Cricetulus griseus: one gene and its partners. The main gene of each other region encodes a partner of the protein of the gene in region 2 in a complex. Links are inferred from orthologs where the notes say so. Each region holds a gene or a part of one and is shown on either strand. Other genes may lie near its edges.

Region 1 (3,500 bases), on a different chromosome or scaffold from region 2:
AGGAAAATACATCAAAAACAAAAAGTAAAATGAATAATTACAATGTTTTAGTTCCTCCAAATAATTTCCTAAATAGTTGCTGACTCTACAACTAAATTATCTCAATTAAAAAACAATTACCTCACCTCTTTAAGTTTACTCCGAATTAAATTTGCCGTTGTATTCAAGGAGTCATCCTGCAGATCCACTGTGGGAATTCCTGGTAACTTAGGTCCAATCACAACCTCGTTACTGCCTGTGTTTGTTTCAGGAAACATTCCAAGTTCATGATCACAGTTTCTCCTTCTTTTCCTCTCCTGCAGCTGTGTTGTCCTAGGCATAAATCTGCCGACTGACTCTGAGGTAGTAATGACCTCTTGCCCACTAGAGCAAGGTAGTGAATTCTTGTAAGTGTTCACCTGTACTTTTGGGGAAAAGGCACTGTAGTTACAATGCTCTGATAGTTCACTATGGTTCCTACCGCTACTACAGGAATTTGATGCTCTGTCCATATGTTCCCCAGGTAAAAAGTTGCTTTGAGAGGCAAAATAGCATAAAGGCAAGTCACAAGAATAAGGAAGAGAAGGACTTGAGTTCTCAGGAGAAGTGTTCAAAGAAGTTGTGCAAAATCCAGGCATATGTGGATGGAAATCTTGTCTAGAATCATTTGCTCCTTTTTGCTCTGGAACCAGTTTCTTCTTTGTCATGTAATAGTCTTCAAAGTTGTATTTTTAGACATTGAGGGAAAGATAAACAAATGTTTCATTAATCATTTTGATCATTCAGAATCTTGTAATTCTAAAACCACACTCTACTCCCCAAATGATACTTCCAGAGCAGGGAAGGCACTGATAAGATTTAAGGGCTTTCTGAAAGGATAGGAAAGGGTACTGTGTCAAGCTTTCCCTTCTCCTTGTTTTCCCTACTTATTTAGTGTATTGTCTTATTCATCTATCTAAAATGCCTCACAGTTCCCCTGGAGCCTCCTTGTCTCCCTAGTCAAAAGATAATAAAAATCTATTCTTTTACATTTTCCACTAACTGTAATCTTAGAGAGTTTCCCATACCATTGCGTAGAAACCTTTACAGTTTCAGAATATTCTACTATATGGATAAACCATGTTTAGTTCCTACTTGTGTCAGGAGAAACTCAGTTGGACATGTGGACATTTGAACCAGCTGCTGATCAAAAACTGGAGTTCTCCCACCAGGAGTAGCACTTCTAACTGGTTTGCAAATCACAGTTGCTTCTTGCTGCCTTCATGTTAGTCACTGGATTGCTTAGCAGGTGACACATGGCACTTCATGATTTGCTTCCTGTCTACTTTCCTAATTTCTCTCACTAAAACCTTGGTATTTTGGTTACCCTGTAGGACTTACAGCTCCTTAAACGCATGATGGCAATTTATTTCCCCAGCTTTAAACGTGTAGCCTGACTCACCCTGCCATCCTCTCCACTCCCCTTCTGATAACATTTGCTAAAATTCAACCATCTCTCAGATCCCATAGGAAATATTCCAGGAACCAACACCCTGTCTTTCTTGCCAAGACTGTACAGTGCTACACAGAACCCTGTGGTTCAAGTCACCAAAGGCCATAACTGAGCAGGGACTCCACAATGACACACATCCCTAGTAGTGCCCCATACACAGGGAGTGTTTACAACAGACTTTCCGTACCTTTGTTTTTAGTAGCTCTTGCAATGTAAGCCTTTCTTTCTTCTAATTTTTTTCTAGTTTCTTCAACTGTCTCAAATTCTGGAGCATAGCATACATGAAGTAACCCACCAAAGAAACTCTGCTCATCCATCTTTTTCTTAGCTACCCTAAAGGGAATTAGATAATTTAAAGAGAACTCAAAAGAGAAACACATAAATTACATGGCTTTTTATTTATGCCTTATATACACGTGTATTCTGCATTCAAGTATATGCTCATGAGTACAGATGCCTAAGGAGGCCAGAGGTGATGGAGGCCCTGGAACTGGAGTTACAGGCAGTGGTGAACCGCCTGACATGAGGGATGGGAACCAAACTCCAAATTTGAGATCTCTGGAACAGCGATAAGTGCTCTTAGCTTCTGTGTCATCTCTCCATCGCCCAGATACATAGCTTGTTTTCTTTCTTTCTCTGCCTCCCCAAGTACTGGGATTAAAGATATGTGCCACTACACCCAGAAAATTATTATTTTTATTACTTTCAATTATGTGTAAGTATGTGTAGAGGCTCTGTCCTGGAGCTAGAGTTTACCGACACCTGACCTGGTTACTAGGAATCAAACTCAGGTCCTGTGGAAAAGCAGTCCATGTTCTTAATTGCCGAGCCATCTCTGCAGCCATGGCTTTGTAATCCAGATTTACCTAAGATAAAAGCTTAATAGGTATTCCATAGGTTTAAGGAGCAAACTGTGTGTGTGTAGGGGGGGGGAGATAGGAGGCTGGGTAAGATGCTTTGTTTTGGATGATGCCACTGATCCAGAAAGTACTATTTTTTGTTTGTTTTGTTTTTGAGACAGGGTTTCTCTGTATTGCTTTGGAGGCTGTCCTGGAACTAGCTCTTGTAGACCAGGCTGGCCTCGAACTCACAGAGATCCTCCTGCCTCTGCCTCTGGAGTGCTGGGATTAAAGGCGTGTGCCACCAATGCCCAGCTCAGAAAGTACTCTTAATAAAAAGATTTATTATCTATTTACTTGTATGTATGTGTTCTGTACATTTGTGTGCATGTGCCCACAGAGAGAGACCAGAAGTCACTGGATCCTGTGGGGCTGGAGTTACAAGTGGTTGTGGGCCACCTGACAAGGGTGCTTGAGAACTGAACCCGTTCTCTGAAAGAGTTGCAAGCTATCTTACCACCCAGCCATATCTCCAACCCCAAGAAATTCTTTTCTCTCTACTCATAATCTCAATAGGTATTCAGCTAAGCTAGTCACACTTACCTATTCTTTTTTAAAAGAATAACTCAGGATCCTACTAGTTAGCTTGAGTTAATAGAACTTGTGAGCCAAATATATAACTTGAAGCTGGTAAGATGGCTCAGCATGTAAAGGCCTTTGCCACTAAGACTGAAGACCTGAGTTCAACCTCTGGGGCCCACATGGTCGGAAAGAACCGTCTCCTGTGCGCGTAGGTACACACGCACATGAACAAGTGGAAACAGTGAAAATACAACAGCTCACCAATGCAAAATTAAGAACTGTTGCTCCTTCTGGGGCTGGAGAGATAGCTAAGGGGTTAAGAGCACTGACTGCTCTTCCAGAAGACCCAGGTTCAAGTCCCAGCATGGCAACTCACAAGTGTCTGTATAACTCCAGCTCCAGGAGATCTGATGATCCACAGGGTCCTACATGCATACAGGTGAATAGGCTCACACAACCACACCACATACACACAAAAATAAAAGAGAAAGAAATAAATTGTTTTCACTCAAGAGATACTGAATACCTATTCTGAACCAACACTATAATAAGTAATCAAGTACTTCTGTTATCTACAGATAATGATTAATTCTTATTGAGATATTACC
Region 2 (3,500 bases):
CTCGCACTACAAAGCAAATCCAAACCAGTCAAGCAACAAACACAACTATGAGCCAGCAGCTTCCATGTCAGTAACAAATACTGTCTCCTTCATGAGGAGGACCAATACAACACAATACTAATTGCTAAGGCTCTTTTTAATCCCCCCTTTCTTTCTTTCTTTTTTTTTAAAAGATTTTATTTATTATGTATACAACATTCTGCTTCCATGTATATCTGCACACCAGAAGAGGGCACCAGATCTCATAACGGATGGTTGTGAGCCACCATGTGGTTGCTGGGAATTGAACTCAGGACCTCTGGAAGAACAATCGGTGCTCTTAACCTCTGAGCCATCTCTCCAGCCCCTCCCCCTTTCTTTTTGAGACAGGGTTTCTCTGTATAACAGCCCTGCCTGTCCAGGAACTCACTCTATAGACCAGGCTGGCCTTGAACCCAGAGATCCGCCTGTGTCTGTCTCCCAAGTGCTGAGATTGAAAGTGTGCAACATCACTGCCCAGCTGCCTTCGAGTCCCAGGATCAAATTCAAGTAATCTAGTCTGAATGTAGATAGTTTAACTAGCTGAGTCCAATCACTGCTTCCCCAATGCATTTCATTTAATACCAACTCCTCCTCCCTTTTAGGGTCAACAGACACTAGCCCAAGAACAGCTTTGTTCTCCAAAGTTACCTGTATTGTCCATTGCATTGGACAAGAGATAAGATCCCTCAGAACTTAAACTCAGGCCGGTGACAGAATCTGCATGGCCTCTCATGGTATAGGTTAACTTGTTTTGACGCAGGTCCCAAACCTATAAAAACACAAAACTGCACTCAATATTCAAATTGAAAAACAGCAGAGAAAGGCCAGGTGTGGTGGTGCACACCTTTAAGTTCAGCACTCAGAGGCAGGAGGATCTCTGTGACTTTGAGGCCAGCTTGTCTACATAAGTGAGCTCCAGGACAGCCAGGACTGCATAGACACTATCTTAAAAAAGAAAGAAAAGAGAAGTAGAGACACGATGGCTCAGGATTCTAGAAGCAGAAGCAGGCAGATCTCTGAGTTCAAGGCCAGGCTGGCCTACAGAGACAGTTCCATTACAAACAGGGTCACATAGAGAGACCTTACATTAAAAATAACAGTAGCCGGGCGTTGGTGGCACACGCCTTTAATCCCAGCACTCGGGAGGCAGAAGCAGGTGGATCTCTGTGAGTTTGAGACCAGCCTGGTCTACAAGAGCTAGTTCCAGGACATCCTCCAAAGGCACAGAGAAACCTTGTCTTGAAAAAACAAAAAAACAAAAAACAAAAACAAAAACAAGGGGCTGGAGAGATGGCTCAGAGGTTAAGCGCACTGACTGTTCTTCCAGAGGTCCTGAGTTCAATTCCCAGCAACCACATGGTGGCTCACAACCACCTTGAATGAGATCTGGTGCCCTCTGCTGGCATGCAGGCAGAAGACTGCATACATAATAAATAAATAAAATCTTTATATATATATAAAAAAAAAAACCAAAAACCAAAAAACAAAAACAAAAAAACCCCAGCAATAAGAACAACAACAGCAACAAATAAATCAAACAAACTTGAGTCTGGGGAAAGGACTCAGAGGTTAAGAGTATTGCTGTACTGCCACAGGATCTGGGTTTGGCTTCCAGCATCACATGGTGATTCACAGCTATCTGTGACCCTAGGTGCAGGGGGTCCAGCGCCCTCTTCTCACCAACTCTGGCACCCGGCACACATGTGGTGCACATACGTTCATATACATCAAATAAAGTGTAAAAATCTAAAAAAGAGAAACACAACTATATATACCAGATGCCAGGCTTAGTGGTATATGTCTAAACCCAGCACTCAGGAGGCAGATGAAGAAAGAGTTTGAATTTGAGGCCAGCTTGAACAGAGTTCCAGACTAACTTGGCTATAAGGCCATCTCAAAAAAAAAAAAAAAAAAAAAAAAAAAAAAGCCAGGTGGTGGCTGCGCATACTTTTAATCCCAGCACTCAGGTGGATCTCTATGAGTTAGAGACCAGCCTGGTCTACAGAGTGAGTTTCAGGACAGCCTGGACTACACAGAGAAACCCTGTTTTTTTGGGGGGGGGATGCCAAGTGCACCCCTGAATTCCAGCACTTGGGAGGAAAGGCAGAGGGTCAGAAGTTCAAAGATACCCTTAGCTATATAGTATATTTGAGGTCAGAAGTCTCAAAAACAAAACTAAAGATCATCACTAGAGACAGAGGCAGGACTGCTGCAAGCTCCAGGTCAACCAGGGACAAAATCAGATAACTGACTTACTGAAAGTAATGCCCAAAATTATATAAAGTAAACATGAAACTGAAAACAACTAAGATTTTTCATCTTATAACATGTATATAGAAACAATACATATGTATGTATATGCATATATATATTTTTAGAAGAAAGAAAATGGAAAGCATGTTTAGGCAAAGAGTCCTTTGAGCCTCTTCTGGAAGACAGTCACAAGAGTATCTAGGAGTTCTGCCCTTCCCTGTTTGTTCATCACTGGGGTTCAAGTCCAGGGCTTTGTGCTCTACCACTGATTCCATCTCCAGCCCCAACAGTATATGCATGTCTTCTGTCTGTCTTTTGTATTTTTTGTGGTGGTGGAGATTGAGCATAGAGCCTCAAGCACAATAGGCAAGTGCTCTCTCATTGTGAAAGATTACAAGTAAGAATGCTTTGCATATGCCTGGTACATGGCAGGCTCTAAATATTATTTAGCAGTTCCTAAAATAACTCTAAAGCCAAAATATAAATATATTTACATAATAGGCGATTAAGCAAATATGTAAAAATAAACATTAAAATGAACAGAAATAGCCTGGATGTCACAAGGAAAAAGATTAGCAATTTTCTGAAGGTGATTGCTATTATAAAAGAAATTCATTTAATACTGCCATGTAATTTTTCTAAATGAATAAAATATATGATATCCCCTAAAGCATAGCACTTTCTTTTATTCAGAAAGGAGTTACGTGAATGTACTGATGTAAAAATTTGAATACTAGGGCTGGAGAGGTAGCTCAGTGTTCCAGAGTATCTGATGCATAGCATCCTTGGTCAGTTTCCAGTACCCACACTGGGTGGCTAGCAACTACATGTTAACTTAGCTCCAAGGGATCAGAACCCTCTTCTGCCTCCTAAAGGACACACACACACACACACACACACACACACACACACACACACACACACACAGAACCCTTTTATTTTTTATTTATTATTATTTGTTTGTTTGTTTTTTCAAGACAGGGTTTCTCTGTGTAGCTTTGGAGCCTATCCTGGCACTCGCTCTGGAGACCAGGCTGGCCTCGAATTCACAGAGATCCGCCTGCCTCTGCCTCCTGAGTGCTGGGATTAAAGGCATGCGCCATCAATGCCCAGCCCACACACACTTTTTAAAATACCCACTTTGAATCCCCTTAAATACAAGCCTACAATGCCAGCATTCAGAAGGTTAAGATGGGAAGATTGCAAGTGTGAGAACTTGCCACCCA
Region 3 (3,954 bases), about 240 Mb from region 2:
GCCTAAGAACCATCCTGGATGAGTTTTTTTTTTTGGGGAGGGGGGGTTGAGACAGGGTTTCTCTGTGGCTTAAGAGGCTGTTCTGGAACTCACTCTGTAGACCAGGCTGGCCTTGAACTCACAGTGATCTGCCTGCCTCTGCCCCGCAAGTGCTAGGATTAAAGGCGTGTGCCACTACCACCCGGAGAGATTTTTTTTTTTTTTATTAATACTTAAGCTGGCAAGGAGTTTAGGACAGTTTATCAGGGTAGTTGGCATTTAATCAGCATGTATTATTTGATACAGTTAAAACTGCTTCGAATTTCTGAAAATAAGTAGCTAAACCTATTTGAAAGATGAATAAGAACTGGCTTAGCTCTTAAGTAATATATCCAAGTGGCCATGTGTGTAGTGCTAGAGGTAGATCTGAATAACACTGGAATCTTGACTCATTTCATGCCTATGTTAACTTCTTCACAGTAGTCACCTCTGAGGGGATGGAACTTGAAATAAGGGCCTAGACCTAGGAGGCACTAAAGCTGAAGGGGCTGGCAGAAGATGAGGGAATCCAGAGGCTGCAGAATACTCAGTGGAAGCTGCAGGGAAAAAATGAATTGAGATAGAGAAATTCTTTTTTTTTTTTTTTTGATTTTTGTTTGTTTGTTTTTTTCCAAGACAGGAAAATATATGTGAAAAATATATGTGAAAAAAAAAATCTCTGTGGCTTTGGAGGCTGTCCTGGAACTAGCTCTTGTAGACCAGGCTGGTCTCGAACTCACAGTGATCCACCTTCCTCTGCCTCCCAAATGCTAGGATTAAAGGTATATGCCATCAATGCCTTTAACAATGTTATTTGATGCAGAGATTCAAGTCAGATGGAAGGACCAATTAATGCAAGGCCTAAGACATCATTCCCATGAAGTTGTTAATCAAGAAGCTAAGGCTAGACTGCACTGAGCTTGGGGGGGGGGGGGCTGTGACAAAGATGGGAAGAATGCAGAACCAAAAGCTTAGTTTTCTACGGAACAGACTGAGGAGGCTAGTGAGATGTCCTCAGTTGGGAGAGCTTTGTTTTGTTCTAAAGATAGAATTCCCAGCATTCTTTCATGCCAGATGTCCTTATTTAAAAAAAAAAAAAAGTTTCATAAATGGCCCGTCAAAACTTGTGAAAGACTTAAGACACAAACAAGACCTCCCTCGCTCCTCCCATCTTCCGAGGGAAGTTTTGTACAGATTCCTCTCCACATTTTGAACACCCACATGGAGCTAACTACTGATTGACGATGCTCTCACTGAGTTTAAGACATCAGCCCCAGACACACCAAATCTCTGCCTTCCTAGGTTTGCAAGTCACCTAAGCTTGCAAACTCTTGCCTTAGTTTACAGGGCTTCGATTTCTTTGAACTGACTTTTTATCTCCCCTCAGAGAGGATCTGAGCATTCTACAAAAATCACACTGCTACCTTCTTCTTTATTTTTCCTTCCTGAAACAGGGTTTCTCTGTGTAGCTTTATCCTGGAACTGGCTCTGTAGACCAGGCTGGCCTTGAACTCACAGAGATCTGTCTGCCTCTGTCTCCTGAGTGCTGGGAGGCTTGCACCACCACCATCCTGCCTTACCTTATTCTTTACCATGGTTATTTCCCCCTCCCAGTGTTCAATCCAATCTGTAACTACATTTTTGTCCACATCTAATTGATTCCAGTATGCACTAATGCTCCCAGTATGTTCGGTTTTGTTGGCCTCTGTGGCTTTCAGTCCTGTTGTTTCTGGAAAATGATACGTGCTTAATAAAGAACTACATAGCTGGGTTTTTTCCTTTATCACCTTCCTTCATTGGGTCCATGCATGCTACTTCTTAAAGCTTATGCCCCTTTCCCACTCGTTGTATTAACATATACAATCACAAATAGCTAGCATGTATTGCCCTCTTACTAGATTATTAGGCTCTGTGTTATATAAACTTTACTATATAATTTCACTTAATCTTTACAATAACCCCCCGGTATAGGTAAGTTTTTAAACAACTATCTCCATTATACAAGAGGAAGTTGTATAATTTGCAAGTAGTGAAGCCAGGATTCGAGACTAGTTTCTTAAAAACAAAACAGTGCCTGGCCACGGCTCGCTTCTGGTGAGGGCACAAATTCTAGTTAGGAAGTCCTGATGCGCTTTTAGCTATGTTCTAAACTTCTGCTCTAATAAGACTACGTCCTAGCCTAGAATTCAAACTTTCTTCCCCTCTTGGACCACTTTTATGCGATGGAGACAGCAGAGGGGTAGTGGAGGAAGATGTGGGACGACGCGTAAACGCTAGTAATTTACTTCTCAGCACCTCACCGGAGACGAGCGGTTTGGGATCTGAAACCAATTCCCGCACCCATCAGTGACCAAAACACTTACCTTAACCGCCACCTCCGGAGCCGAATCTACCGCCACTGTCAGAGAGGGCTTGGCTGAAGGCGATTTGGTCAGGTGCATGAGAGAGTCGGCGGCTGGCAGCGGACACCGACTGCCCTCACTGTCCGAGTCCGATTCGGACCCTGAACCCGAGCCATACGAAGCAGCTAGAGCTGCAATCGCAGCGGACATGACTGCAACAGATCCTCTCTGCTGTGGTCAGGCCAGGGCGGAAGAAGCAGCGACTCCCAGGTCCTGACAGATTGCCAAGGAACACTTTATTTACCTTCTTTAACAAAAAATCATTTATAACTTCCTGAAAAAAATATAATGATTATTACTCTGACTGCATCAGTATCTGAGACTCGCAAACATTAATCTAGATAAGCACAAGGAATTACAACTACTTATAACTTTCAGGACCTCGTTGATTAAAGCCCCACAGTTCTGAGATACCTTTGAAGCCTCGAGGTCCTCCACTCCCGGCGTGCAGAGCGGTGGGAAGCGCGAGGCACCATGGGAATTGTAGTTTGGAGGGAGGAGGCGGAGCCGGGCTGAGGGGTCGGCCTTCGACCCCGCCCCCAAAGGATGGTTCATTCAATTGGATATCATCTTCCCTCATTCCCTAGCCCAGCATCGTTCTCTGCGGCCCCCTCCCCCAAAGTGCGGATTGGGCAATACCACGGAGCCTCAGGACAGGGGGAAGCTCCGTCCTCTTGCCCACGGACGAGTACGTGAGCGGAGGCTGAGTCTCCCGCCCTGCGACCCTACGCCCTGCGGGACTCAAGGGGACAGTGCGAATCTTCAGTTCGGAGACCTGGGGCCCGCCTGGCGCAGCTCCGGGGGAAGGTTGTGGGGCGAGGCGGAGAGCGCCCCGCGGCTCCCCCTGCTGCAGGCGCGGGTCCCCGCGCCCGGTTGTGGAGCGTCGCGCGGGGAGGGGGCGGCGCAGGGCAGCGGCGGCTCGCGGTGTTGTTCGCTCGCGCGTCGCGCGCACCGCGGCTCGGGCCATCAGTGGCGCCCCCGGCGGCATTCCCGGCGGCCCGGCGCCCCAGCCAGTGCCCGGCGCGGCTTCCACCCCGCGGCCCGGCGCTCCCGAGGGGCTCTCGGTGAAGTCCCAGCGCGGAGCGGGACCGGCGACCGCCGCCGAAGCATGAAGAAGGGGTAAGGCGCGAGCCCCCCACGGTTTCTCGGTGAGCACGAGTCTGTCAGGATTTTGTCCCCTTTCTTCCCCGGGTCCTGGCAGGGGAACTGCTCTCCATCGGCCGGAGCCGAGAGGGGCGTGTGTGGGAGCCCGGGTCTGCGGCCGCGGCGGCGGCGATGATGGGCGCGCCGCCCGCCCCCGCCCCCATCCCGGGCTCCCCCGCGCCCGCCGCCTAGCAGCCCGGGCTGCGCGTGGAGGACGAGGGCGCGGGTCTCGGCTGTGGGGACCAGCCCGAGGCTGCTCCGGGTGCAGCGGCGGCGGCGGCGGCGGCTCTCACCTGCGGTGCCGTGCGGTCCGGGGCGCGCGGCTCCCACCCCGCCGCCGCTTCGCCCTCGTGCCTCGGCGCCGGCCAAGGCTGCAGCCCACCGCGGAGCC
Region 4 (4,168 bases), on a different chromosome or scaffold from region 2:
GCCTTCAGTTCATCTCAGCAGGTGCACACAATCAATCATCCAGTTCTTGTTTTCTATGGCTAGCTTGTAGCCCCCCAGCCCTCCCCCTTGCTTTCTCCCCAGGGATCAGGATAGTAAAGGCATGGGGTTTGTGGTCCTAAGGTGGAGCTCCTCATGGCAGTTCAGCAGGATGAGGCTCAGGGGTGTGTGGTCTCCAGGTAGAAGAGGAAGTTCCCTCTGGGATGCACCATAGTGCCCAGAGCTGGTGTTTCAGGCATTCTGTAGCAAGATGCCCTCCTGGGCTAGGACCTGTGTTCTGTGCCCGTGGAAGAAACTGAGGACACAATTCCAAGTTTCATGGTGATTCAGAATGGAGAAAATCCTGCAAGAGAAAGGTGTGGTCCATCTGGCCGCCCTCATCCAGCTCTTGCAGGATCACCTGAGCTATCTAGCCTGGGGGGGAGGTGTTCTGGCTTTGAGTTGTTCTCAAGAGCTCCAGATCTAGACTTCACTAGACAGGAAGATCTCACCTGGCTCCACCTCTGCAGGAGCGGGATTCCATCACCTTAGCATTTTGCTGAGGGGTGGGGTAGACTTCACCTTGCAACTGGATGTACCCCAGAGTAGGGCATTATGGGCTTCTGGCTGGGTACTGCTCGGATGCCAATGCTACTTCCTGTTATAGTTCCCCTGCAGAAAGAAGGAATTGAATGGGAACAGACATGGGGCTGGGTCCTAAAAGGAGCTAGATTTGGAAAGTGCCTAAGTATTGACAGCCAGAAACAGGACTCAGGAAAAGCAAGAATTTTTTTTTTTTTTTTTAAAGAGACATCTCACGTTGTATCCCCGATTGGCCTCAATCTCGCGACAATCAGTCCTGCTTATTTCCCGAGCGCTGGGACTGTGTCAAGCTTGGAAAGCAGGGTTTCTATTGAATTCCGTTGGGCGCAAAGAGCCCTATATAGAGAGTCAGACTGGAGCCCACAGCTTCTGCTCGGCCTTTGTCCCTCCATCCAGGACTTGGGAACCTCTTTTTTTTTTTGGTTTTTGAGGCAAGGTTTCTCTTTGTGACTTTGGAGGCTGTCCTGGAACTAGCTCTGTAGACCAGGCTGGTTTCGAACTCACAGAGATCTGCCTGCCTCTGTCTCCCGAGTGCTGGGATTAAAGGCGTGCGCCACCACCGCCCGGCCTTCAGCACCTCTTTAAGCAGACAGAGCGTCACGTCCTCACCTGAGTCTCCATTTCAGAGGAATAACAAACACTTGCCGCCATCCTCAAGCTAAGTAAGGCTGGGGCTGGTATAGGAGTTCACGCGAGTCTTTTGGGGTCTTACGTCACTTCCTGCGGAGACTGTCTTGACCAAATGTACACATCCGCCCGTTCCGACAGTCTTTTGGATGGGAGTGAAGCAGCTTCCGGCCTTATGGAGGTCTCCACAGTCTCCTTCCGGGTTATGGAGGCGAGTGCCCCGGATGTAATACTGGCGAAAGCATCTTTCCTTTCTTTCCCCGCCTGACCCCGGGCTCCTCGGTGAGCGCCAGCCGGTAAGACTGTTCGAATCCCTGCGAATTTGCTTCCTCTCTAATTTGTGCGCCGACTCTGACATGGTCTAGCAGCTCGCTGCGTGGAACTGGGGGTCCTAAGCAACCAGGGCGCCAGCTCTTGGGTCCGACCGGCCTCTGTGGGCACTCGGGTGGGAGCTGGGGGAGCCCTGTAGCTCCGCACTGGTAGGGGAGTGGTGACGTAGGGGAGCCTGGCTTTTTTTCCTGCGTGGGAGTACGCACAGGGTCCGCGCGGGGGCGGAGATCCGCCCGTCAGGGCCTCTGAATGAATTGCCAAACCAATTCCCGACGACCCGCCTGCTAGCGCTTGAGATGGTTCAGTGACCCTTCCTCGCTCAAACGGGACCTGGCGCTTACCAAGGAAAATGTGGTGCCACAGCGCTCTCGCGGCCGGCTCTCCTTACCTAATTTTCTTACTCCGTATCCTTTTCCGAGGTCCAGCTGGAGGAAGTGTTCTGCCAGTCATGCCAAAGAGGAAAGTGACTTTTCAAGGTGTGGGAGATGAGGATGATGAAGATGAAATCAGTGTCCCCAAAAAGAAGGTGAGATGGTCAGACTCCTAATGTCTGTGGAGGACTGAGGAGAAATAAAAGGAAGGAAAGCTGAGAAGCGAAAGAAAGGGTTAGTTTGCCCCGGTGCGCTGGGTTTGGTAGGTTTTCAGTTTGGATACAGATCCTGGAATATTTGGGAAGCTCGCCAGTAGGTTGCCTTTCTCATTTGCTGGTTTCTACTCACAGCTGGTGGACCCTGTGGCTGGAGCAGGGGGTCCTGGGAGCCGCTTCAAAGGCAAACACTCTTTAGACAGTGATGAGGAGGATGATGATGATGAAGGGTCCAGCAAGTATGATATCCTGGCCTCAGAGGATGTAGAAGGTGAGTTATTCCCAAAACATTAGCTGTGTTGGAGGGCAAGTCTGATTATGGAGGTGGGAAGTGTGCCTGTCTCTTTTTTGCATGCCTAGCATGGGGCCCCCATGTCTTTGGTGCAGGTCAGGAAGCAGCTACTCTCCCTAGTGAGGGGGGTGTGAGGATCACACCCTTCAACCTGCAGGAAGAGATGGAGGAAGGCCACTTTGATGCTGATGGCAACTACTTCCTGAACCAGGATGCACAGATCCGAGACAGCTGGCTGGACAACATTGACTGGGTGTGGCCCAGGAGCTGTCCTGGCTGAGGCCTGGGAATGCAGGTGCTGGGCCTGGGCCCTGGTGGAAGTTTGTAGGAAATAATAATTATCTTTCCCTTATAGGTGAAGATCAAGGAGCGGCCACCTGATAAGCACCAGGTTTCAGACTCAGAGGAGGAAGACAGCCTGGGTCAGACTCCGATGAGTGCCCAAGCCCTCCTGGAGGGACTTTTGGAGCTGCTGTTGCCAAGAGAGACAGTGGCTGGGGCACTTAGGCGTTTGGGGGCCCGAGGAGGAGGCAAAGGGGACAGCAAGGGGACTGGACGGCCCAATTCCCCACAGCGCCTAGACCGGCTCTCTGGGTTGGCTGATCAAATGGTGGCTCGAGGCAACCTTGGTGTATACCAGGAAACAAGGGAACGATTGGCTATGTGTCTGAAGGGTTTGGGGTGTCGGACTCAGGGATCCCATGACCCCACACCTCCACCCTCCCTGGACATGTTTGCTGACGAAGTGACAGAGGGAGAACTGGAAACCCCGACCCCTGCGCATAAAGGAGGTAAGCTTTTAGGACACAGGAGAGGCAATGCCAGTGGGAGACTGGGCACTTAAGGCCGATACGTCTTTGTTGTCTTAGAAGCAGAGTCAGCGGGAGATGGTCTAATGGATGTGATGTGGGAATATAAGTGGGAGAACACGGGGGATGCTGAGCTGTATGGACCATTCACCAGTGCCCAGATGCAGGTCAGTGGCTTCCTCCTGTCTTGTCTGTCCATCCCGACTTCTGTCATCTTTCCTAAGTTTTGTCCTCTCTTCTTACAGACCTGGGTGACTGAAGGCTACTTCCCGGATGGTGTTTATTGCCGGAAGCTGGACCCTCCAGGTGGTCAGTTCTACAATTCCAAGCGCATTGATTTTGATCTCTACACGTGAACCTGCTAAGGGCCCAGTGTGGTAGCCCCTTTTTCTTGGACTTGGCAGAGGAGGCCCCAGCTGCCCTGGGCAGTGAGGATCTTGGAAGCTACTCTTCAGCCACTTTCCCTTTCCCAATAAAAGCCTTGAGTGTGCATCAGGGCCTTGATGTGCTGGTAGCCAGAAGCCAGGGCTCCTCCGTAGCTCCTGTTGGCTTACCTGGCCCTTGAGTGTCTCCTCCTTCCTTAGATGCTTCTCTCTGGTGTCTTGGACCACCTCGGTTTGTTTTCCGCCCTTGGTGGCAGTAGTAGGGCCCGTCAGGTGTCCTGTGACTTGCCATGTCAAATTCCCTTCAATCACTCTATTCTCCTATCTCCCCTGCAAGTCCTTGTTTTGCTGATCTTCAGCTTTTAGGACCTCAGATTCTCTGGCCTAGTAACCCCTTTGCAGCTGGGACATTTGGAAAAGTTTGAGATCCTATTGAGAACACTCAGGAGGCCTCTTAAACATGGGTTCTCCTCTTCTCCCTAGTCTGATTTTTCCTTCCCTTGCAGTAGCTCCCATAGCTCTTAGGTGAAGCATGAACTTA
Region 5 (3,981 bases), on a different chromosome or scaffold from region 2:
AAAAACAAAATAAAAAACCAGAAACAAAATCCAAAAGTAAAACACCAAACAAAGTTCACACAGGAAGGAAGGTCCTTGGGGCCAGATCGCTCTCCACCTAGGCATCCTGCTGCTGCACGAAGGGGTTGGGGATAGCCTCCATGCCATCCTGTGGGCAGATGAGCACCACTGAGGTGCCTCGGCACACCACAAGCCCCAGCTGCCGTGTGTCTTCTGTCAGCTTGTACTGGTCATCAGGGTCTGGTGGGAATAGGGGGTGACAGGCAAGAGGAACTGAAGACATGTCCTTTCCACCCAGCACTCCACAACCAGGACCTCAGAGGGCTGTCCCATCTTTCTTTTGGGGACTGACACACCCAGGCCCTGGGGTCTCAGAGCCGACTGTAGGCATGGATACTACAAGAACCCAGGGCAGATACTCACCCCAAGGAGTGGTCTGCAGGGGAAGCAGAGGCCCCGGGGAGGATGGACCAGAGGTGGAGACAGGGAGCAATTAGAAAGTAATTGTTGTGGGTGCAGAGGAAGGGACACTCTTTGGGCATTACAGGTACTATTCTGGAATAAGCTGAGATCCTATGCGTCCTGGAGCTGGTGACACAGGCAAACAATCCAGACAGAGGACAGTAGCTACTATTTCTGCCATCCCCAGGAGGGCTGAGGGGAAGGAGCTGAAATCTCAAGCCTGGGGCCATCATGGTGGGCCTGTCACCTTTCTGGTGATCAGGGAGGGACCTGCACCCTAGGTCAGCACCACCTGCGGCAATGTGACTGCACAGGTGTGGAGAAGAAACAGGGCCTGGTGGCATCCCTGGACAACCACAGCCAGCTCACCTCTCATGTACTCAATGGTTCCATCCAGCACCAGGTTGAGCAGTGGGTCAAACCCTTTCAGGATCCCGCTGGCTTGAAGGGAGAGATGGGTAAGGATGATGTTATTGTCCTCCCACTACAGACCCAGGCATGGGGACAGTTATCACTACAGAACTCATGGGGAGACATGTCCCTATGTGGTGGCCTGCTGACTATGACCCCCAACTCTCTTCCTACAAGTGTGGAAGGGGCCATAGATAGTGAGTTCATGGTGGACCAAGTGTCAATAAAATGTTATCATCCCCCAAACTGAATTCTGTATAGTTTCCATGTAACACAAAATAGCCTTTTTTCCCCTCCCATTTGTATGAGAGAGTATCATTTGCCCAGGCTGGCCTCAGACTCACTAGGCAACCTGAAAATAATCTTGAACTTCCCGATTCTGTGTTTACCTTCCTAGGGTTGGAATAGCAGGCTTGTACAACCACACCTGGTTTCCATGGTGTTGGAGATAAAATCCAGGGCTTTATGCACACTAAACCAACCCTCTATCCACCAAGCTATAGCCTAGCCCTGGTTGATTTTTGGAGACAGGTCTTGCCACATAGCTCAGACTGGCTGGAACTTTCCCTGATCCTGCTACTGGAAACCTCCTGGGTCCCTGCTACCTCCAGGCTCTTGAAGGGATGCCTTCCTTCCATCCCCCTGTTGCCTCCTTCTTCTATGTCCTCCCAGCTTTCTGGCCTCTTCCTTCAGGCTCCAGCAATAATGGTGTGGGTGCTACCGCACCTGGCTTTCTTTCCCTGGGACTCATTTTCCCCATCCACAATTGAGACATACTGGTACCTCTCAAGTAACAGGATGGCCCAAGCTTAGCCTTTGTTAAGAGTTAAAATGCCTGCCTTGTGAGGCTTTCCCTTGCTTGTCGCAACCCCGATTCTTAGGGGCCCTGTTGCATCCACTCACCTTCCCGGCCACCCTGGAACTTCACTCGGATGGTCTTGTCAATGTACTTAGATAGGTCCAAGATGCTTTCTTTCTTCTTTTTCTCTTTGTCCTGCTGGAGAGTGGAGGAGCTGAGGAGTGAGACCCAGTCTTCCCATATCCTTGTTGCCTGGACCCGGCACCCAGCGACTCCTTTTGACCATCCTGCAGCCCTCATAACTGTCTGCAAACTCATTTCCATCTCCCATGTTCCCCCAACTAAATTCCAGGTCGCTGAGTCTGCATCTCTCTCTATTCCCATGCCCCCTGTGTATATCCTCATGTCCCCTGCCTGCACCCCCAGGTTCCCGGTCTGCACCCCCAGGTTGCACCCCCAGGGGTCTGCACCCCCAGGTTCCCGGTCTGCACCCCCAGGTTCCCCCTCCGGTCTGCACCCCCAGGTTCCCCGGTCTGCACCCCCAGGTTCCCCGGTCTGCACCCCCAGGTTCCCCGGTCTGCACCCCCAGGTTCCCCGGTCTGCACCCCCAGGTTCCCCGGTCTGCACCCCCAGGTTCCCCGGTCTGCACCCTCCAGGTTCCCCGGTCTGCACCCCCAGGTTCCCCGGTCTGCACCCCCAGGTTCCCGGTCTGCACCCCCAGGTTCCCCGGTCTGCACCCCCAGGTTCCTCGGTCTGCACCCCCAGGTTCCGGGTCTGCACCCCCAGGTTCCCCGCCTGCTTCCCCAGGTTCCGGGTCTGCTTCCCCAGGTTCCGGGTCTGCTTCCCCAGGTTCCGGGTCTGCTTCCCCAGGTTCCCGGTCTGCTTCCTCAAGACGCCCGGTGTGCAGTCCCACGTGATTCCTATTCCTCCGCGTCCCTGTCTCCCTATCCGTCTTCGGGTGTCCGCCCCCCTCTCTTTGGTCCTCCTGTGCCCCCAGTTTTCGCGTCTACAGTCCCTCGGGGGGAACCCCGCTCTCTCCGCGACCCAGCAATGCTCACCGCCATCTTGCCGACCTGCGCTGCTCTGCGCAGGCTCCGCACCGCCCACTTCTAGCGAGGGGCGGGCCCGCGCACGCGCAGGGCCGGCGCGTGCGCGTCTCGGGGTCCCGAAGGCGTTGCCGGGAAACCTTCCGCCTAGAGCTGCGGCAGGACAGGCGGACATGGCGGCGGCGCGGCTCGCCGCGGCCCTGCTGCTGCTGCTCGCGGCCCAGGTGAGCGCCACGGCTGGTCGGCTCGGCTGCACCACTCGTGACCGTGGCCGAGACCTTGCTGTCGTCCCCTCGCTGTCGCCACCGCAGACTTCGGGCCGGGCTTAGCCCGCCCTGCGCCCCGGGGCCCCAACTGCCGCCGCCGCCCCTGCCAGCCTCAGTTTCCTCTTCTGCAGAATGGGGCGAGTCCCCGTCCTCCTCCCCCAGGGGCTCGGGAGGGTCCCCGGGTGCCTGCAGCCCTGCATCCCGGCTTCTGCTCCGTGACCTTGGGCAGGAGGGGTTCCTCACCTCTGGGTCAGTCAATGCAACACGCGGGGGACCCGTGGGGGCCTCCGGGTGCCGCGGGATGCGCCCCGACCCGGTGCCGAGGCAGGACGTTTGGTGAGCGTCGCTTGCTGAGACACAGTCGCATGCTGGCCTTGAACTCATTCTGTAATGCGCGCTGGCCTCCCACAAGCGCTGCAGCCCAGGATGGTCTCTTGACTTTGCCATGTTGCCCAGGCTGGCCCTGAACACCCTGTTAGTCTCCCAAGTGCTGGGATGCCAGGCCTGCGTCACAACACTTGGCTTAGTTGTTAGATTTCTTGTTTGTTTCTGTGGCATCAGGCTCCAGTCCCAATGGTTCGTGAAGGGCTGCAGCCTCGGGCACACGGGGCAGTTGCTGGGTTCTAATGCGGATGGCCCACAGGGTGGCCTGTGCACGTTATTCTATATATTCATCTTCTCTCATGGACCCTGGGTCTGGATCGTTCTTTCAAATACTTTTTTTTTTTTTTCAAGATTACAAAATCTTGAGACAGGATCTCCTTTTATAGCCCAGGCTAGCATTGAACTTGTAACTGAGCCTCAGCCTTCCCAACACTGGCACAACTGGCATGCTCTTCCTTGATTGGCTAAGAAGTTAAGACATTACCCAGGCGTGGCGTTCCTAGCCTCTCCACCATGTGGCCCACATCCCCCTTTGACGTTTTTGTCCCCACATCCCGCTCTTGGCTGGGCATGAGCTTTTGAAAGTGTGTCAGGGCTCCCCACCCTGCCAGCA
Region 6 (4,007 bases), on a different chromosome or scaffold from region 2:
ATGCTTGGATCATTTCAAAGTCCTGACAAGACTCCAAAAGATAACATACCACAGGCAAATCTCCATCTTCTTCCTCTTCCTTTTCCGGCTTAGTGGTAGAAATAGCTGCCCAGCCCACATCATCATCAACAATCCGCATTCTAGATGAGAACAATAAAAGCCTCAAAAAAGAACTCATTCTGGGACACAGGCCTATGTACACTTACCTATTGTTTTTTGGCATTTATTTATCGTGTGTGTATGTGTGACGGGGTGTGTGTGTGTGTGTGTGTCATAGAATACATATAGAAGTCAGAGGACAACTTGCAGGAGTCAGTTGTTTCCCTCCACCATGTGGGTTCAGAGGATTGAACTCAGCCTGTCAGGCTCGTTGGCAAGCATTGGGCCATCTCACCTTTTGGCTTTTAAAGTTCAAAAGTATGGCTCAGTCTTTGTGTATATGGACTCCTACTGTCAGTTCACTCCATCACTGTCCACCTTTTTGTTTTTTGGTTTTGGTTTTTGAAGACAGGTTTTCTCTATATAACAGCCCTGGCTATCCCGGAACTTGCTCCATAGACCAGGATGGCCTTGGACTCAGAGATCCACCTGCCTCTGCCTCCCAAGTGGCTTACACTTCCACATTGCTGTTCATCAGTGAAGGAACTCAAACAGGCAGGATCCTGGAGGCAGGAGCTAATGCAGAGACCATGATGGGTGCGACTTACTGGCTTGTTCCCCATGGCTTGCTCAGCCTGCTTTTTATAGAACCAGGACCACCAGCCCAGAGATGGTACCACCCACAATGGGCTGGGCCCTCCCACATTGATCACTAAATGAGAAAATGCCTAACTGCTGGATCTCATGGAGGCATTTCCTCAGTTGAGGCTCCTTCCTCTGATGACTCTAGCTTATGTCAAGTTGACACACAAATCCAGCCAGTACACCACCTAAGTTGCAATGGGTTTTGTAAGTAGCCTAGAGACAATTTAAAGAGGATATGAATAGTTTACCCACAAATACTGTATCATTGTGTGGAGGAACTTAAGTACCTGTGGACTTGAGTAACCAGTGTACCAACTGCTGAAAGATGATGGCATCCAATGGATGTGATCTGTGCTGCAAAGAGGTATTTGAAAAACCAGGAACACATGCTACATCTTTAATCACAACAGCCATTTCAGACAAACAGCAGTGTTCAGGACCACTAGGACTCCGAGTCTCAGAGAGGTGAACTCTCTTGCCCAAGATGACCCAGGCTATAAAGTAGCACTGCTAGGATTCAGATTCCAGTTAGTGCTGTTCCAAAGCTTAAACCATGTTCCCTGAATGGCATTGCTCCTTCTTAGAACCACACTGAGCTGGGCGTTGGTGGTACACACCTTTAATCCCAGCACTCCAGAGGCAGAGGCAGGCAGATCTCTGTGAGTTCGAGGCCAGTCTGGTCTACAAGAGCTAGTTCCAGGACAGCCTCCAAAAGCCACAGAGAAACCCTGTCTCGAAAAATTAAAAAAAAAAAAAAAAAAAAAGAACCACACTGAATTTACCACATACCTTAACTGAATATAGGCTCAACTAGTAACACCACAAAGATTGATGTCATGCTGAAGTCCCAAATGAAGGTAAATTTGGGCAAAGAGGGAATTAGGGAATTAGTCTACCCACTTCAATGGGCCACAGAATTTTCTCAGTAGAAATATGAGAATAATACTGTCAGCTCACGATGGTTCCCCCATAGAGGGGTGTGAACCACACTTTATATTCTCTAAGCTGCTAAGCTCTTAGCAAGCAGCAGACCCAAGGCATGGTGTATAAGAACGGGATTAGCTTCCAGAGTTTCGACCTTGTATCCAAAATAGTACCTTCTTAGCAAGCTGCTAAACTTAGGGTCGCTGCTCTAAAGTCTATAATTTCTTTTGTCCTGTGGGCTGATGTTGGATCTCCTATCCCAACCTTTCCAGATTCCAGTGGCCAAGTCACTGCATCCGAAATCTGTCTCAGCACATCCCTCTTTCGAACCTGGAAAGTATATTATTTAAAACAATGTCTACTTCACCACAATGTCCTGAAAGTTATATGGTCAAAGTTTTTAGAAAGAGGCCAGGCACATGATAGGAACTGTACCCATATTAGTTGTTACTGTTAGTAGTAGGCAAGAATAACAGGACTTAGATCTTTGGTTCCAGATCAGTTCCTAATACTTTGAAGGCCCCAGAAACAGATTTTTGAATTCTAACATTAAAAAAAAAAAACCGCAATCACTGGGGCTTTTAATTAGTTCTACTACTCTCAGGGCACGACTTTTCAATCTGTTCGAGGGACGATACAAGGCTACAAAGGCGGGAAAACAGTAAGGAAGTTCTAAGTTCTAGCTGGCCTTAACGCATGGAAGACACTGCTCAGAGGACGAGGTCTGAGCTGCAGGCGGCGGCGAAGAGCCGGCTCGGGAGCAGCGGGGCCGGGCCTGGGTCGGCAGCGCTCGCAGCGCCGCGCGGGCGGGGAGGAGGAAGAGCTGCGGCCGAGGGCGCAAAGGGGCAGCGCGATGCCCCATCAGTCCACTCACCCCTTGCCACCGGCGCCTCCTGGCTTCGGCCGTTTTCTGCGCCGCTTCCGAACCGACTCTGGACCTCCTTCCGGGCCAGCATCTGCTCCAGACAAGTAACGCTTCAGATACTCAGCCTTGGAGAGCGGCAGAGCTGCCGCCATGGCAGCGGCGAGGGCGGGGCAACGGCTCGGCGTTGGGGACAAAAATTCTTCTACGGGAAACGGATGGGGGTGGAGCCAGAAACGGAAGCCCTAGGAGTGGCCCTTATGGAGCTACTGGGGCTGATAGGTGTCATGACTCTTAAAAAATGTCTTTACAGGCTCGGTGTGGGGAAGGGGAGGTGCATGAATGCATCGTAGGGCCGTTCTGCTTTCCTGTGACGACACATCCGTGCAACGCTCTCAGCCGGGACTGTTCCAGCAAAGAGGTCACAGGCCGACTTAACTAGTCCTGCCCTGACGACTGCACCGGAGTAGGGAAGAACCGAAACTCAGGAGATCAGAGCACCTATTTGAATACGAGACCGATCGTAACTGTGCCACTGGGGGCAAGTTATTGAATAGCATTTTAATAACGGATGTTGTGCCAAATGCCTAGCACAATTAGTTTATTTCAGTTATTATTATCATTATTGAAGAAGAAGAAGAAGAAGAAGAAGAAGAAGAAGAAGAAGAAGAAGAAGAAGAAGAAGAAGAAGAAGAAGAAGAAGAAGAAGAAGAAAGAAGAAAGAATTTACAAAAGCAGGGACTTGGTGAAGCTGCCTGGTGGATACCCTTGAGGACTCATAGGTAGATGCCAACCCAGAGCAGGAGGAAGAGGACTCCCAAGCCCATTAAGAGTTAGGGCACCAAGGAGATGAGGAGCTCTTTATAAATAATTGTATGTACTTGGTGGAGGTGACCTTATAAACGAAGAACCAGGAAGTACCACGATCAGGTGTGGGAAGACAGCTGGATTGACCCAGCTGGTGTACCTACTGATGACCCCCAGCTCTTTTGCCCACAATAAACCACCAGTAGAACTATTTCGGTTATTTTTATTGGTATAAATACCTTTTGGTAGACAGTATACTGGAACAGTGCCATTTAGGGGAAGTCAAACAAATCCCACCCCCAATATTGTGACTGAAAAGTGGATTGGTCTCATCAAACCTGTATTGACCTTTCCACGTTTGGTATTATCTCTCAAGAAAATGGTATACAATCTTCCCAATAAAAATGACAAGGAATTGTTGTCAATGTGGCAAAGAAAAGAAAGCCAGGAAGATTCTATTTCTTATAGGGGGTTAAGTGTTTGGTGAATCTTCACTTGACCCCCACAATTCTGTTTCTTCTTCCATCAAGCACTGGGGATTGAACCCAGGGCCTTGCACATGATAAGGAAGAGTTCTGTAGCAGAACTACTTCCCCCACCCCTTTCTGAATTTTGGAGACATGACCTTGCTAAGTTGCCCAGGATGATCTTGAGTTTGTTATCCTTCTGC
Region 7 (4,069 bases), on a different chromosome or scaffold from region 2:
AAACACAACTGTATGCTGTAACAAAAAAAAAAAAAATTTTCATAAATGTGAACTAGTTAACCTGTAAAAGTCACAGAGACTCTGATGTCTCTCATCCCTGTTGAGATGAGACCCCTCTTGGGTAAAGTCTGCCTTACCATCTTTTTGAAAGTTGCTTAAATGTATTATATTTGCTAACATTTTTGTTTAAAGAAAAAAGGCCGTGATCATGTTTATAACTGGCAGCACTGTATCTTCTAATCTCACTGCTCACGGCCTCCACACAGCTGGCAATGCTCTTCCCAACCTCAGCCACCGCTGTCGAGTTCCCCCCAAGCCTAACCTCACTCACCGCTTCATGCTGAGTAATTCAATTGGTTGTCGAGCAGCTAGCCTCTCAAATTCGTTTCTCATTATGTCAGTCTGATGAAGAAACAACACAAAGAATTAGTACCAGGATCAGGTTGAAAATAATGTTTACTGAGATCTTATACTTTGTACTACATTATAATGGATCTTTTTGCTTCTCTCAATTACCAACCCCATCTCCCTTTTTAAAGGATATTAATATTTGACCCAGGTCTCACACATGTTCTCCCACTATGCTACACTTTCACCATCCCCCAGTTTGGGTCTGGGCTTAATTTTATCTAGGGTCTTGAAGAAATAGACACCCACTTTAATTCTATAGTCTGCCCAGGCACAAAAGGAGGCAAACATAAAAGAACCTGTGTGTTAAGGATTAACCCTCAATCAGCAGTTTTCAATGCACTGCAATCAGTTGTGGAGCTGTGAAGACAACTTTTACCCAGCCACACATTACATTGTATTTCACAACATATGAGAGCCTTGAATCTGAGCCAAATGTTTCAGGCAGTCTCTAGTGCTGTGTAGTGTGACACAGTGTAAATCCCACATACTCCAGTTTAAAACCTCGACTTCAATAAAGTCACAAGATGAAACATTGGATTTGAGACTTGATTTCTGAACTAATCACATGGAGTTATAAAAACCCCGGGAGGGGTTACAACACAGTTGTAACCTGGGTTCTAAATGAGGAAGGTATCACAACAACTAACCCCACACAGGGAGCAGTTTCTCTGCCTGAAAAACCTCTCTCAACCATCTAATTAATGTATGACAGTCACCCAGTTGCTATCACATCTGTGTAGCCCTGGCTGTGCTAGAACTTGTTTTGTAGATCAGGCTGGCCTTGAACTCACAGAGATCTACCTATCTCTGCTTCCCGAGTTCTGGGATTAAAGGTGTGGGCCACAGCCAACCAGCAACATCATTAATTTTCTATTTGGCATTTATCAAAAATATCCGAGACTTTTTAATTTATCTGCCCATCTCAAAACTAGAATCTAAGTATTATGAGGATACGAACTGTGCCTATTCTGTTCTGTAATACATTGCATATTCTGTTCAGTTTGCATAGACAGTACATAAGCACTTTCTGAATAGGAGTCCAGTAGTCTAGGAAGCAACAAGAATTCATACATGCAACTGCAACAAATTAAAAAGCTTTTCCGATAGGGGGTGGCAGCGCACGCTTTGATCCCAGCACCTAGAGGCAGACGGATCTCTGTGAGTTCGAGGCCAGCCTGATCTACTTGAGGCTCTGTCTAAACTCACACACACACAATCCTGCATCAAGAGCTGGACATGGTGACTTACACTTGTAATTCCAACACTCACAAGCCTGAAGCAGGAAGATTATCCCAAGTTCAAAGCTGACCTGTCTTAGTGAGTTATAGGCTAGCATGAGTTCCAGCCTTAAAAACCTTAATTGGCAGAAGAATAAAAATGAACAGTTATGTAATTCATAGGACCATTTTCTGAGCTAGGAAAAATAGTTCAATACACCATTAACAACTACTAAGAAAGTATTAAATTAACCAGAACACTAATTATAAAGGCAGGAACCGCGCTGCATTTTAAAAGGTTAGAAAAAATGTATTAAAGCATTTAAAAGTTTGCAAATGAACACCTGATTAGGACCTAAATGGTATTTTGGTTGCACTTGTAGGATAACAATTTTAAATGGTATGCAGTTAGGCATGTTTGTTCAGGCATTCATATATCCGCTAACTATCTGAGTTTTGTTACAAAAATCTCCCTTCAGTGGTTGCAAAGAGTACAGGTAGTTAAGATTATAAATATTAAAATCCCGTGATTACTACCTGTTTTTGACTGGACCTTAGAGAATAAAGGATAAGGGGTCCTTTAGGGAAGTTTACTAGGGACTCTTAAAAATAAAAGACCCAAATATTTTATTAAACAAGTCTGCAGAACCAATAAAGTATTTCTTGTAATACGAACCCTGAGGAAAGCTCATCTGGCTATTTTGAACCAACTGATCTTGACATGCAACATGAGCAGCAAGCAGCAGTTGCTTCCAGAGCTAAAGCCCTCAATCCGAAATCTAAGCCGGCAAGAATCCTGGTCAGGATGCGGGACTCAGGACACCGCACTTACTTCAAAGGCAGAATAATCCGGGGCTGTCAGGTAGCTCAGGTAGTTCTTGGTAGGTCGGTATCTGCGAGTTTCCTCCTCCACCAGGGCCGCAGCCTAAGAAAGAGAACAAACCGGGGTCAAGGCGAGAAAGGGAACCATGCCTCGGGTGACCCCCACCCCCGCACGCGCCCCATACTCACCGCTTCCCGCACGCCGGGAGCCTCGTAGCCTTGGTCAAAGTACGGCAACGCATCCACCACCACCTCCCCGGCTACCAAACCCGTGCCTGCCATTGCGCGGCACTCTGCTCCACCAACGCCGTCAGTCTGCGCCGGCTCGCTGCTATGCCACTGCGCCTGCGCGCGGGATGACGTCACACACAGCGCCGCCTCTCGGATTCGGGCCGTGTGCAGAGCGGCTGATTCTGTAGCCGCTAGGTCTTAAGGACTGTTTTGTTTGAGGCCTTGCGCACTGACGTCCCGGTAGACCTGGGATTATGCCTGTCTTTCCTCCATGGCTACGAGGACGATTTTATTCGAGTTTAAGAGAAAAACAACAGGGCAGACCGGAGGCAAGACATGCCCTTTGAGTTAGACATAGATGCTAGCAATGCAGTGAGACTAGCATAGTAGGAGGGAGAGGGGTTTAAAAGACTGAGAATTGGGGCGTGGGAACTTTTCAAGAGGTGGTTGCTGGACTTCACTGGAGGGGAGAAATATACTTCCCACGCCCTTTAAAGAAGCTGGGGGTAGGCGTTGGTGGCGCACGCCTTTAATCCTAGCACTCGGTTGGCAGAAGCAGGCGGATCTTTGAGAGTTCGAAGCCAGCCTGGTCTACCGAGCCAATTCCAGAATAGGCTCTAAAACAATACTGAGAAACCCTGTCTCGAAAAAACAAAAAACAAAAAGAAGCTGGGGGTAAGCCGGGCAGTGGTTGCACACTCCTTTAATCCCAGCACTTGGGAGGCAGAGGCAGGAGATCTCTGTGAGTTAGAGACCAACCTGGTCTACAAGCTCGAGTTCCAGGACAGCTCAGTGGTAAAGCCCCATCTCAATCTTCAGCGCTACAAATGAACACCTCATCCTTCCAAGGACTGGAATTCTGTCTACAGGATGCTTTGCTTAAAAAGCTTTGCCATGTTTTTGTCTCTGGGGCCTACATAAAACCCAATCATTTTGCCTTTAGGATTTGTGGTAATAGTGATCCTCCTAGGCTCCCTTCCCCTCAGGCTGTAACTAGTATACATTCTCTGTTAAGTATACCCCAAAACTAAGAGGTAAATGCAAAAAAGATTGTTGGACCTATGTGTCCTGCCTAATGGGCATTCAACCAAGGCTTATCTGTTAGAAAAGTTGGTCTCAGCTATAAGCCTGGTTATTCTAAGATTGATATGGGTATTTATGATTTTACATTATGTAAATGTGCTGCCTATAGGTTTAAGTAAAGTGAAAGAGCTTCACAACTTGTGGTTTGATGAGAACTGCCTCTCCTAGACCTACATATTTGAACACTCCCAGTTGGTGGCGCTCTTGTGGTTTAGGAGGTGCAGCCTGGCTGGAGGAAGTAAGTGACTGGAGTTTAAAGCCTCACAGTGTGTTTGCGCTCTGCTTCCAAGTTGCTGTTTGAAGAT

The links.
Region 1: Snrnp40 (region 2) and Rbm48 share a complex: the UniProt entries of both Homo sapiens proteins name them as parts of the minor spliceosome. The link is inferred for Cricetulus griseus from reciprocal best matches to the Homo sapiens genes SNRNP40 and RBM48.
Region 3: Snrnp40 (region 2) and Cdc40 share a complex: the UniProt entries of both Homo sapiens proteins name them as parts of the postcatalytic spliceosome P complex. The link is inferred for Cricetulus griseus from reciprocal best matches to the Homo sapiens genes SNRNP40 and CDC40.
Region 4: Snrnp40 (region 2) and Cd2bp2 share a complex: the UniProt entries of both Homo sapiens proteins name them as parts of the U5 snRNP complex. The link is inferred for Cricetulus griseus from reciprocal best matches to the Homo sapiens genes SNRNP40 and CD2BP2.
Region 5: Snrnp40 (region 2) and Lsm7 share a complex: the UniProt entries of both Homo sapiens proteins name them as parts of the U4/U6-U5 tri-snRNP complex. The link is inferred for Cricetulus griseus from reciprocal best matches to the Homo sapiens genes SNRNP40 and LSM7.
Region 6: Snrnp40 (region 2) and Bud13 share a complex: the UniProt entries of both Homo sapiens proteins name them as parts of the minor spliceosome. The link is inferred for Cricetulus griseus from reciprocal best matches to the Homo sapiens genes SNRNP40 and BUD13.
Region 7: Snrnp40 (region 2) and Bcas2 share a complex: the UniProt entries of both Homo sapiens proteins name them as parts of the postcatalytic spliceosome P complex. The link is inferred for Cricetulus griseus from reciprocal best matches to the Homo sapiens genes SNRNP40 and BCAS2.

What each region holds. Positions count from the first base shown.
Region 1 is NW_023276806.1:221,961,466-221,964,965, forward strand, and holds part of Rbm48 (RNA-binding protein 48), read right to left. Parts: intron 1,805-3,500; coding exon 1,659-1,804; intron 695-1,658; coding exon 126-694; intron 1-125. UniProt on the Homo sapiens protein: As a component of the minor spliceosome, involved in the splicing of U12-type introns in pre-mRNAs.
Region 2 is NC_048595.1:22,668,699-22,672,198, forward strand, and holds part of Snrnp40 (U5 small nuclear ribonucleoprotein 40 kDa protein), read right to left. Parts: intron 791-3,500; coding exon 670-790; intron 7-669; coding exon 1-6. UniProt on the Homo sapiens protein: Required for pre-mRNA splicing as component of the activated spliceosome. Component of the U5 small nuclear ribonucleoprotein (snRNP) complex and the U4/U6-U5 tri-snRNP complex, building blocks of the spliceosome.
Region 3 is NC_048595.1:263,393,118-263,397,071, forward strand, and holds the start of Cdc40 (pre-mRNA-processing factor 17), read right to left. Parts: upstream 2,801-3,954; 5' UTR 2,571-2,800; coding exon 2,382-2,570; intron 1-2,381. UniProt on the Homo sapiens protein: Required for pre-mRNA splicing as component of the activated spliceosome. Plays an important role in embryonic brain development; this function does not require proline isomerization.
Region 4 is NC_048596.1:73,578,268-73,582,435, forward strand, and holds the start of Cd2bp2 (CD2 antigen cytoplasmic tail-binding protein 2), read left to right. Parts: upstream 1-1,368; 5' UTR 1,369-1,523; intron 1,524-1,976; exon of another isoform or gene 1,977-1,982; 5' UTR 1,983-2,005; coding exon 2,006-2,083; intron 2,084-2,278; coding exon 2,279-2,414; intron 2,415-2,530; coding exon 2,531-2,688; intron 2,689-2,790; coding exon 2,791-3,226; intron 3,227-3,304; coding exon 3,305-3,411; intron 3,412-3,489; coding exon 3,490-3,600; 3' UTR 3,601-4,168. UniProt on the Homo sapiens protein: Involved in pre-mRNA splicing as component of the U5 snRNP complex that is involved in spliceosome assembly.
Region 5 is NC_048598.1:101,634,295-101,638,275, forward strand, and holds the start of Lsm7 (U6 snRNA-associated Sm-like protein LSm7), read right to left. Parts: upstream 2,801-3,981; 5' UTR 2,737-2,800; coding exon 2,731-2,736; intron 1,871-2,730; coding exon 1,777-1,870; intron 904-1,776; coding exon 832-903; intron 241-831; coding exon 98-240; 3' UTR 1-97. Other genes in the region: Sppl2b (signal peptide peptidase-like 2B), read left to right, coding at 2,892-2,942. UniProt on the Homo sapiens protein: Plays a role in pre-mRNA splicing as component of the U4/U6-U5 tri-snRNP complex that is involved in spliceosome assembly, and as component of the precatalytic spliceosome (spliceosome B complex).
Region 6 is NC_048597.1:158,021,261-158,025,267, reverse strand, and holds the start of Bud13 (BUD13 homolog), read right to left. Parts: upstream 2,801-4,007; 5' UTR 2,686-2,800; coding exon 2,543-2,685; intron 141-2,542; coding exon 50-140; intron 1-49. UniProt on the Homo sapiens protein: Involved in pre-mRNA splicing as component of the activated spliceosome. As a component of the minor spliceosome, involved in the splicing of U12-type introns in pre-mRNAs.
Region 7 is NW_023276806.1:53,787,774-53,791,842, forward strand, and holds the start of Bcas2 (pre-mRNA-splicing factor SPF27), read right to left. Parts: upstream 2,801-4,069; 5' UTR 2,733-2,800; coding exon 2,640-2,732; intron 2,554-2,639; coding exon 2,461-2,553; intron 403-2,460; coding exon 332-402; intron 1-331. UniProt on the Homo sapiens protein: Required for pre-mRNA splicing as component of the activated spliceosome. Component of the PRP19-CDC5L complex that forms an integral part of the spliceosome and is required for activating pre-mRNA splicing.